Linked DNA regions of Oryctolagus cuniculus. The protein of the gene in region 1 interacts with the protein of each later gene in a pairwise test. Links are inferred from orthologs where the notes say so. Each region holds a gene or a part of one and is shown in the gene's direction. Other genes may lie near its edges.

The links.
Region 2: the proteins of TOP3B (region 1) and SPRED2 interact in binary tests that used the Homo sapiens proteins (3 or more experiments, as listed by UniProt). The link is inferred for Oryctolagus cuniculus from reciprocal best matches to the Homo sapiens genes TOP3B and SPRED2.

Annotation. Positions count from the first base shown.
Region 1 is NC_091452.1:28,916,077-28,919,886, forward strand, and holds part of TOP3B (DNA topoisomerase 3-beta-1), read left to right. Parts: intron 1-655; coding exon 656-852; intron 853-1,182; coding exon 1,183-1,339; intron 1,340-2,233; coding exon 2,234-2,347; intron 2,348-3,448; coding exon 3,449-3,539; intron 3,540-3,803; coding exon 3,804-3,810. UniProt on the Homo sapiens protein: Releases the supercoiling and torsional tension of DNA introduced during the DNA replication and transcription by transiently cleaving and rejoining one strand of the DNA duplex.
Region 2 is NC_091433.1:137,419,542-137,423,123, forward strand, and holds the end of SPRED2 (sprouty-related, EVH1 domain-containing protein 2), read left to right. Parts: coding exon 1-372; 3' UTR 373-2,851; downstream 2,852-3,582. UniProt on the Homo sapiens protein: Negatively regulates Ras signaling pathways and downstream activation of MAP kinases. Recruits and translocates NF1 to the cell membrane, thereby enabling NF1-dependent hydrolysis of active GTP-bound Ras to inactive GDP-bound Ras.

The DNA of each region.
Region 1 (3,810 bases):
TGGCTGCAACCCAACTGCTCCTCCCACAGTGCCCCTCAGGCTGTGGGTCTTTACAGGGTCACCCAGACGCCCTGGCACCCCCAGTGCGGCCCAGGGCTTGGCAAACTCAGGATGCAGGAGGTGGTTCCAACGAGAGCAGACTCGCTCACACATTGTCCCCTCCCTCCGCACAGCCCTCCTAGTCTCAGCTGTGGGACCCCACACACCCCCACCCCCAAGCCGCAGCTGGGCCCACCTGGCCCCTTCCCACTGGCCATGGCCTTTGCCTCTGCTGGGCTTTTTTCCTGCCCTATATTTCTCCAGTTTCTTCAAAGTCTCACGTACCTACGCCCAGCACACCCTCCTCCTAAGAGTAGGCTTCCAGTGGATTTGGGGACTGCAAGGTCCCTTGTGTGCCTGGCAGCAGGGGGAGGAGCGGTGGGGGGCAGCTTGCAGGGCGGCAGTGGGGAGGGGCATGTGAATGGCAATGTAGCCGTGGGTGAGGGGTCTGCGCAAGATGGAGGCTCCTGGAAAGGCAGGAAGACGGCAGGGGTCTTGTTGAAGGGGGCCACACGCGTGCTGAGGCTGGGCCCCAGAAGGAGCCGGGCCTGACGGCTGAGGGGTGGGACAGGAGATGGGGGGCAGAGGCGATCCCAGCCGGATGGCTTCCCACCAGGTCCTTGATGCCGTCGTCCCCGTCATGAATAAGGCCCACGGCGGCGAGAAGACTGTGTTCCGGGCCAGGTTCAGCTCCATCACAGACACAGACATCTGTAACGCCATGGCCCGCCTGGGCGAGCCGGACCACAACGAGGCGCTGTCGGTGGACGCCCGCCAGGAGCTGGACCTGCGCATCGGCTGTGCTTTCACCAGGTGCGCTGGGTGCCTGCCCTGCGCCTCGGCATTTTCACTGTGCCGGCCGCTGCTGGATAGGCGGCGTGGGCCCACTGGCACGCGGGTCCTGAGGGGGTGTGGCAGGGCTACCCATTAGCAGGGCTCCCTGGCCCACTGGGACCCAGCTTCGTGTTCCTGTTGGCTTTCCCAGCCGTGCACGCGTGGCTCCTCCCCAGGGCTCCTCCCTGCCTCTTGCTGCCACCTCCGGTTGCCCTGCGCTCACCACCCCAGCCCCGGGGGCACTCACGGTGGGGTCTCAGGCAAATCCTTAACCAAATGGCTTCTCTCTCGCACCCCACCCTCACCCAGGTTCCAGACCAAGTACTTCCAGGGGAAATACGGCGATTTGGACAGCTCTCTCATCTCCTTTGGGCCGTGCCAGACTCCTACGCTGGGCTTCTGTGTGGAGAGGCATGACAAAATCCAGTCCTTCAAGCCGGAGGCCTATTGGGTGCTGCAGGCCAAGGTGCCTCCTCTGCTCTGTGTGTGTGTGTGTGTGTGTGTGTGTGTGTGTGTGTGTCTGGGTTTGGGGGGGGTGGACTCTGAAAGCCTTGTGTCATCACCATCATCCTCCTCCTGCAGGCCTCAGGGGTAAGGGTGCCACTGTGGGCCTGTGGTGCCCCCGGCTAGGCTGAGCCTGGGGACGCTGAATTTGGATGAGTGGGGACAAGGCTGGCTCTGGCAATCGAGGGTAAAATCACATCTGATCACTGGACCAAGGCCCTGAGCTTTTAAACTTTTTGGAAATTCTAGAAAGCCAGGTGTAGCAGTTCAGACAGTCCTGGGAACGCTGCGTCCCATATCCATATCCGAGTGGCTGGTGCAGGTCCCAGCTCTCTCCCAGTTCCAACATCCTGCTGATGCCCACCCTGGAAGGCAGTGGTGATGGCTGAAGCACCTGTGTCCCCGCCACCCCCTTGAGAGACTGGCTTCAGCTCCCAGCTCCCGGCTGTGAAGGCACTTGAGGAGCGAAATCGGCGGGTGGGACATCTCATCTCTGTCTCTCTGCCTTTCAAATAAACAAAAATAATTTTTTTAGGAAGTCCTAGGGCGCTTTCCTCAAATAAAACCCTCCACAGACGCGTGCTGTAGGATTTATAACATGACACTGGAGCTGCTGTGACTGACAGGGACCCTGGGTGTGCGGCAGAGGCTCAGGTGCTACTAAGGATGTGATACCGTCAGCCTTGCCACCCCACCCACCCTGAGCGAGACCAGGGCTCAGGCCGGGATCAGCACACCTGAGCAGGTGCAGACGCCAGCGCCAGGGCTGCGTGGCTCCCAGACAAGGCCCAGCCCAGGCGCTGGGCTCGCCGCCCGCTTCTCCTCATGTGTTCACCTCCTGTCCTCCGTCCTGCAGGTGAACGTCGACAAAGACAGGTCGCTGCTTCTGGACTGGGACCGAGTGAGAGTGTTCGACCGGGAGATCGCACAGATGTTCTTAAACATGACAAAGCAGGAGAAGGAAGCCCAGGTATGGCCCCGCCCCACCCACACCTGTCCCCCTGGCTCATGCATCCACTCCTAAGATAGTTCTCCCAACGCGGCAGCTGTGGGGCACCCATGTCCACACCTGGGACCTGCCAGGCCCTTCCCACGTGACCCAGTGGGCAGATGTCACAGGTGTCCCTTCTCTGTGATCTCGGGGGCTAGTAGCTGCAGAGGGACCTCTGTGATGAGCTTGGCCAGGGCCACACGGCAAGTTGGGGACTTGTCTGGGATCCATCCGCCTGGCACCTCCATGGTGTTGTATTTCCTGCTCAGAGTGTGTGTGACTCAATCTCAGGAAGAGGGTGGGGTGACGGGCACAGGGCATGCTCTGCAGATGCTCCGTGGCCCTGAAAGCTGCCAGAGCCATCAAGGTGTGGCCGGGCCACCTTCAGCCACCCTGCCCTTCCTCGCATGCCAGCTGGCCCACCCATGCAGCCCTCTCAGGCTCCAGAACTTCTGAAGGCGTTCCCATGGGTCGCATTCCTGCAGAGGCCCCGGCTCCGCCTCCAGATCACCCCGCGTAACCCTGGGCTCCACTGCTGCATATCCACAGGCAGCCTCAGCATTAGCACCCACGTTTGTGGGCCTGGAATCCGGCGTGGCCGGGGATTGGCCGAGGCCCAGGCCCTGGGCAGAGTCGCTGGGACTGTTTCTGCCTTGTCTTCTGATGAGTGCCTTCCAGAGGTGGAAGGGGGAGCTCACCAGCCAGCACAGCCCACAGATGGATCCCAGTCGGTCTTGCGTGGCGTTGCTGCAAGTTTCAAGAGAGTTGTCCACACTGAACAATTGTGTGATGTCACGTGAAAGTCCTGGCTTCCTGCCAGCCATGCCTGCAGCCCCTTCTTCCTGCCTCTTGCTCACTCCTCCGGGTTTTCTCTTCCCTAGACAATTATCTGGAAAAGAGGGCTTGTTGTGTGTCCCTTGCCGGTCCCAAACGAGCACTGAACCCGGTCTCCAGACTGCAGGGAAGAGGGGGTTTGAGAAGCAGAGAGACAAAGGAAAGCAGGCCCCTTGCCCCGTGCTCGGATTGTCTCTCTTCAGGCTCCTCCCACCTCCGCATCACTGCCTACGTCTCATCCTGCAGGTGGAGGCCACAAGCAGGAAGGAGAAGGCCAAGCAGAGGCCACTGGCCCTGAACACCGTGGAGATGTTGCGTGTGGCCAGCTCTTCTCTGGGTATGTAGGGCGTTTCTCTAGAGGCCCCAAAGACTGCTTGGGATGCACTGAGATGATTCCGTTCAGCCCCAGGGGTGCAGGCGGGGCTGACCCCCACCCCTGGGCTCAGCACCTATCAGGCAGTGATGCCGGGGCCCGGAGGGCAGCTGAGCCTCAGACAGGGGCCCCCCAGCCAGCCGCTCAGAGGCCTACCTTATGTGGAGCCTGAGCGCGCAGCCTGTGGGCAGCCCTCCAGGAGGGTGCTGAGCCTCCTGTCTCCTGCAGGCATGGG
Region 2 (3,582 bases), on another chromosome or scaffold:
AAGTCCCGGTGGCGGAAGGAGGACGGCGAGCGCTCCCGGTGCGTGTACTGCAGGGACATGTTCAACCACGAGGAGAACCGGCGGGGCCACTGCCAGGACGCTCCCGACTCGGTGAGAACTTGCATCCGCCGGGTGAGCTGTATGTGGTGTGCGGACAGCATGCTGTATCACTGTATGTCGGACCCCGAGGGGGACTACACAGACCCCTGCTCGTGCGACACTAGCGACGAGAAGTTTTGCCTCCGGTGGATGGCTCTTATTGCCTTGTCTTTCCTGGCCCCCTGTATGTGCTGTTACCTGCCCCTTCGGGCCTGCTACCACTGCGGAGTGCTGTGCAGGTGCTGTGGGGGCAAGCACAAAGCGGCCGCCTGACTCGGCGTCTCTCACGCGCTCCTCTCCTCCTGCCCCGGGACCCTGAGGCACCATTCCAGCCCCGGGAACCTGCCCGGGGGGCTCTCAGCTCCCTCCGCCACCGCCCTGCGGCAGCCGCACACACCCACTCACACACAGTGTTCTGAGGAAAGGAACTTGGGCCTGGACTCTGGTGTATTATTAACAACCTGTAATCAAGCTGTTTTATCCACGCGGCCATTTCCTGTCTGTCCTCCCCACCTCTTCCAGTTCAAGGGCGTCTGCAGTGGGAACTGCTGCGGATTTGGGGCTGGGTTTTCCCAGACCCGGTCTTTCTCTCGGTCCGGCAGCAGGTTCCTGCGGAACCCTGATCCCCGGATGATGCGACCCTACCGGAAGTATTTTAACCTGCAGTCAGTTATTATGTATAGGAGGTGAGCTAGTTAACAAACTTGTACCATAAAATATCGCTTTAACTCTTCTAAAGCCAAATTTCCCATGAAAGCTGCAGTTTCTCTAAGTCCATCATCATTTTCTGTCCCTGCCTCCCCCCACCCCTCCTCGTGCAAAAATAATAATAATAACCTGTCGAAATTGTTCACTGATGCAAAACATTCACCATAAAATGAGAATTGAGCCTTAACTTCAGATTAACTCGTGAGAATCAGGAAAACTCCTTCAGCTGCGTCACACCCTCAGACCAGGGCTAGAAAGGGGATATTTCAGGTTTCTTTGAGCCTCCCTGGTTATCCTAAAAATTGACTTTTTTTAACAGTTGTGTTGCCACCACTTGCTAAAAAAAATTAGCAATATTAGAATAAGAGTAAAAATTAGAGTAAGAAATCTTGCTCATGGTTTTGCGAGCCAGATAGTCTATTCAAACACAAACCAGTGCTGTAGGAGCAAGTGGCACTACACTACGGTTGTGGGGGATAAAGCTATAGGAGTTTCTTTCCCTCCCCCTGGTGGCTATTTATAGTAACAGGGTGGGGGGTTTTAAATATCATCACTTCCAAGAGTGGTGGGGTCGCATTTTTGCCTGTGGGTTTATGTTTTCATTTTCATTTTGGACTCAACTTCATGTCACCAAATTCTTCATTTATACTTGGGAAAAAACAAGGCCATATGTAAAAACCCTTCCAATGCCTAAGTGTCTTTCTCCTGCAACTCCAAACCCAGACTTGCCACTTTTCGTGCACAGGTGGTTAGGCCAGCCGGCCAGTTCCACCTGTCACCTTGCCACGTAGGAGGCTTCTTACTTAGCTGGAACAGAGTATTTTTCTAATATATTGGGAGGAAAAGCCAAATCTTCTTATTGAAGAAAAAGGAAAAGTGAAGAGTGGTTACCTGTACCTAGCATAGTACAATCAGAACCTCGTGGAGACCACGGGGGACAGACAGCAGGCCTGTCGACACTGGCTGTTCTTCCTGCCACAGTCCTTCTGTGGGAATCGCCAGCCACTGGCAGGACCCTGTCCTCCTCGCCTCCTTTCCCCTGTCCTTTCTCTCTTGCACACAGGACATAGTCTTCAAGGAAAGTGCTAGCCATGCTGAACCTCCCCGGCAGGGCGTTCAGCCCGCCTGGGAGCCCTACCCGTTTCTTCTGCGTACACACCCAGTGTGCTTCTGAGTTGGTTGGCAGCTCTTGCCATTTGTTGGAGTGACCAGTGGGACCCGGTTCACCATCCATGTGGATCGATGGAAAGAGAGCTAACGGCTTCCCTGCCTGGAGAACAGCGAGACACCCTCCAGCCTCCCGCTCCGACGACGCTGTCGAGACGGCACCTTCTTCCCGCCTGAGGTCTCCCTCAGGGTCTCTCTCTAAGGTCTCCTCTCTACAAAGCACAACACTAATGTATGTGTCCTTAGACTTCCGTTCAAGCGCCCCTATTTATTTCAACAGGAACACACGTTTCAGAGCCACCTTTTGTTTGTCACCTCTGTCGTCCTGCCCACCCTCCTTTGCCCCTCGACCCTTCCTACCTGCGAGTCTTACTCCGCAAATCCTTTTTGGTTTGTGAAGGCAGCGGTTAAGGGCACAAAGACGGCCATGGGGACATTTATGTAAATACGTCTCTCCCAGCACCACCCTGCAGCTGAACAACGTGTAGTGCTTTCCCAAGTCAGCTTTGCCATCATGACGTCAGTCATTTGAGAAAAGTACTCAGATTTTATTTTTGTATCGGTGGTAACAAAACATTAACCAAAAGGTTTTCTGTTGGGAAGCTTCCCTGACCGTCTCCCCTCCCCCACCCAAGCTGTTTGCTCACATTAACAGATTAAAAGTGCCTGAGACATGATCCATTCTTTCCCTGTATATTAAAACCCCGTTGTATTGATTTTTTATAATAAGCCTTTTTACCTCTGTGTAAAAAAATATATATACAAGTGTATGATGTACATTTTAGTTCTTAACTTTTTTTTATGGTTTCTAATATGTATGACCAATGTAGCCATTGCTTTAAAATGTACCATGTAAATATAAACACATCCTATCAGATCACTGACTTGGGGGTGTTTGTGGGGCCGGCGACCGATGAGGGGAGCCATGGAGCCGGGGTAGACATGGCGTTTCTTGCACCCGGGATGGGGTGGGCTTTCCTCTGTGGAAGGGATGTGTGGACACCACTCTGGCTTTTGCGATGCGTCCCCGCCTCTGGTTATGTCATATTCCCCAGGCGGGGGCCGGAGCTTCTTGGGCCTGGCCGCCTCAAGTGAAAGGAATGCTGCGTGTCGCAGCCACCACGGGGAACACCCCACTTCCCAGACCTGGCTTCCCCGCCCGCGCCCCCCAGAGGGAGCAGCTGGGCAGCCTCCAGGTTGCGTTCTACAGGTTCCTGCTGGCCACCGGGCTGCGTGTGGAGTATGGAAGACCATTTCTCACTGAAGACAACCGGGAAGACAACCTGGCCCACTTTCCTTTCCAGTGGCCTGGTGGGTGCTCCGAAGCTCTGGGACCGGCCCCAGGAGGAAGCGGAAGGTGGGGTCTTGGAGGGGTGGTCACAGAGGACCTTCTCCGAAGAGAGATGTTCTCCCTCTTCCTGGAAGGGGTGGCTTTCCCAAGCCCCAGGTGAAGGCGAGAAGCTGGAGACACAGTCAGAGGGGCCCATCTGAGAAAAAGGGGGAGCAGGTCGGGCAGCCTGCAGGCCAGGAGGCAGGGGCTGAACGCCAGTCCCTGTGGGGCCTCGCTCTGTGCGGCTGCCTCAGGAGGAGCCTGCTGTCTGGCGTCCT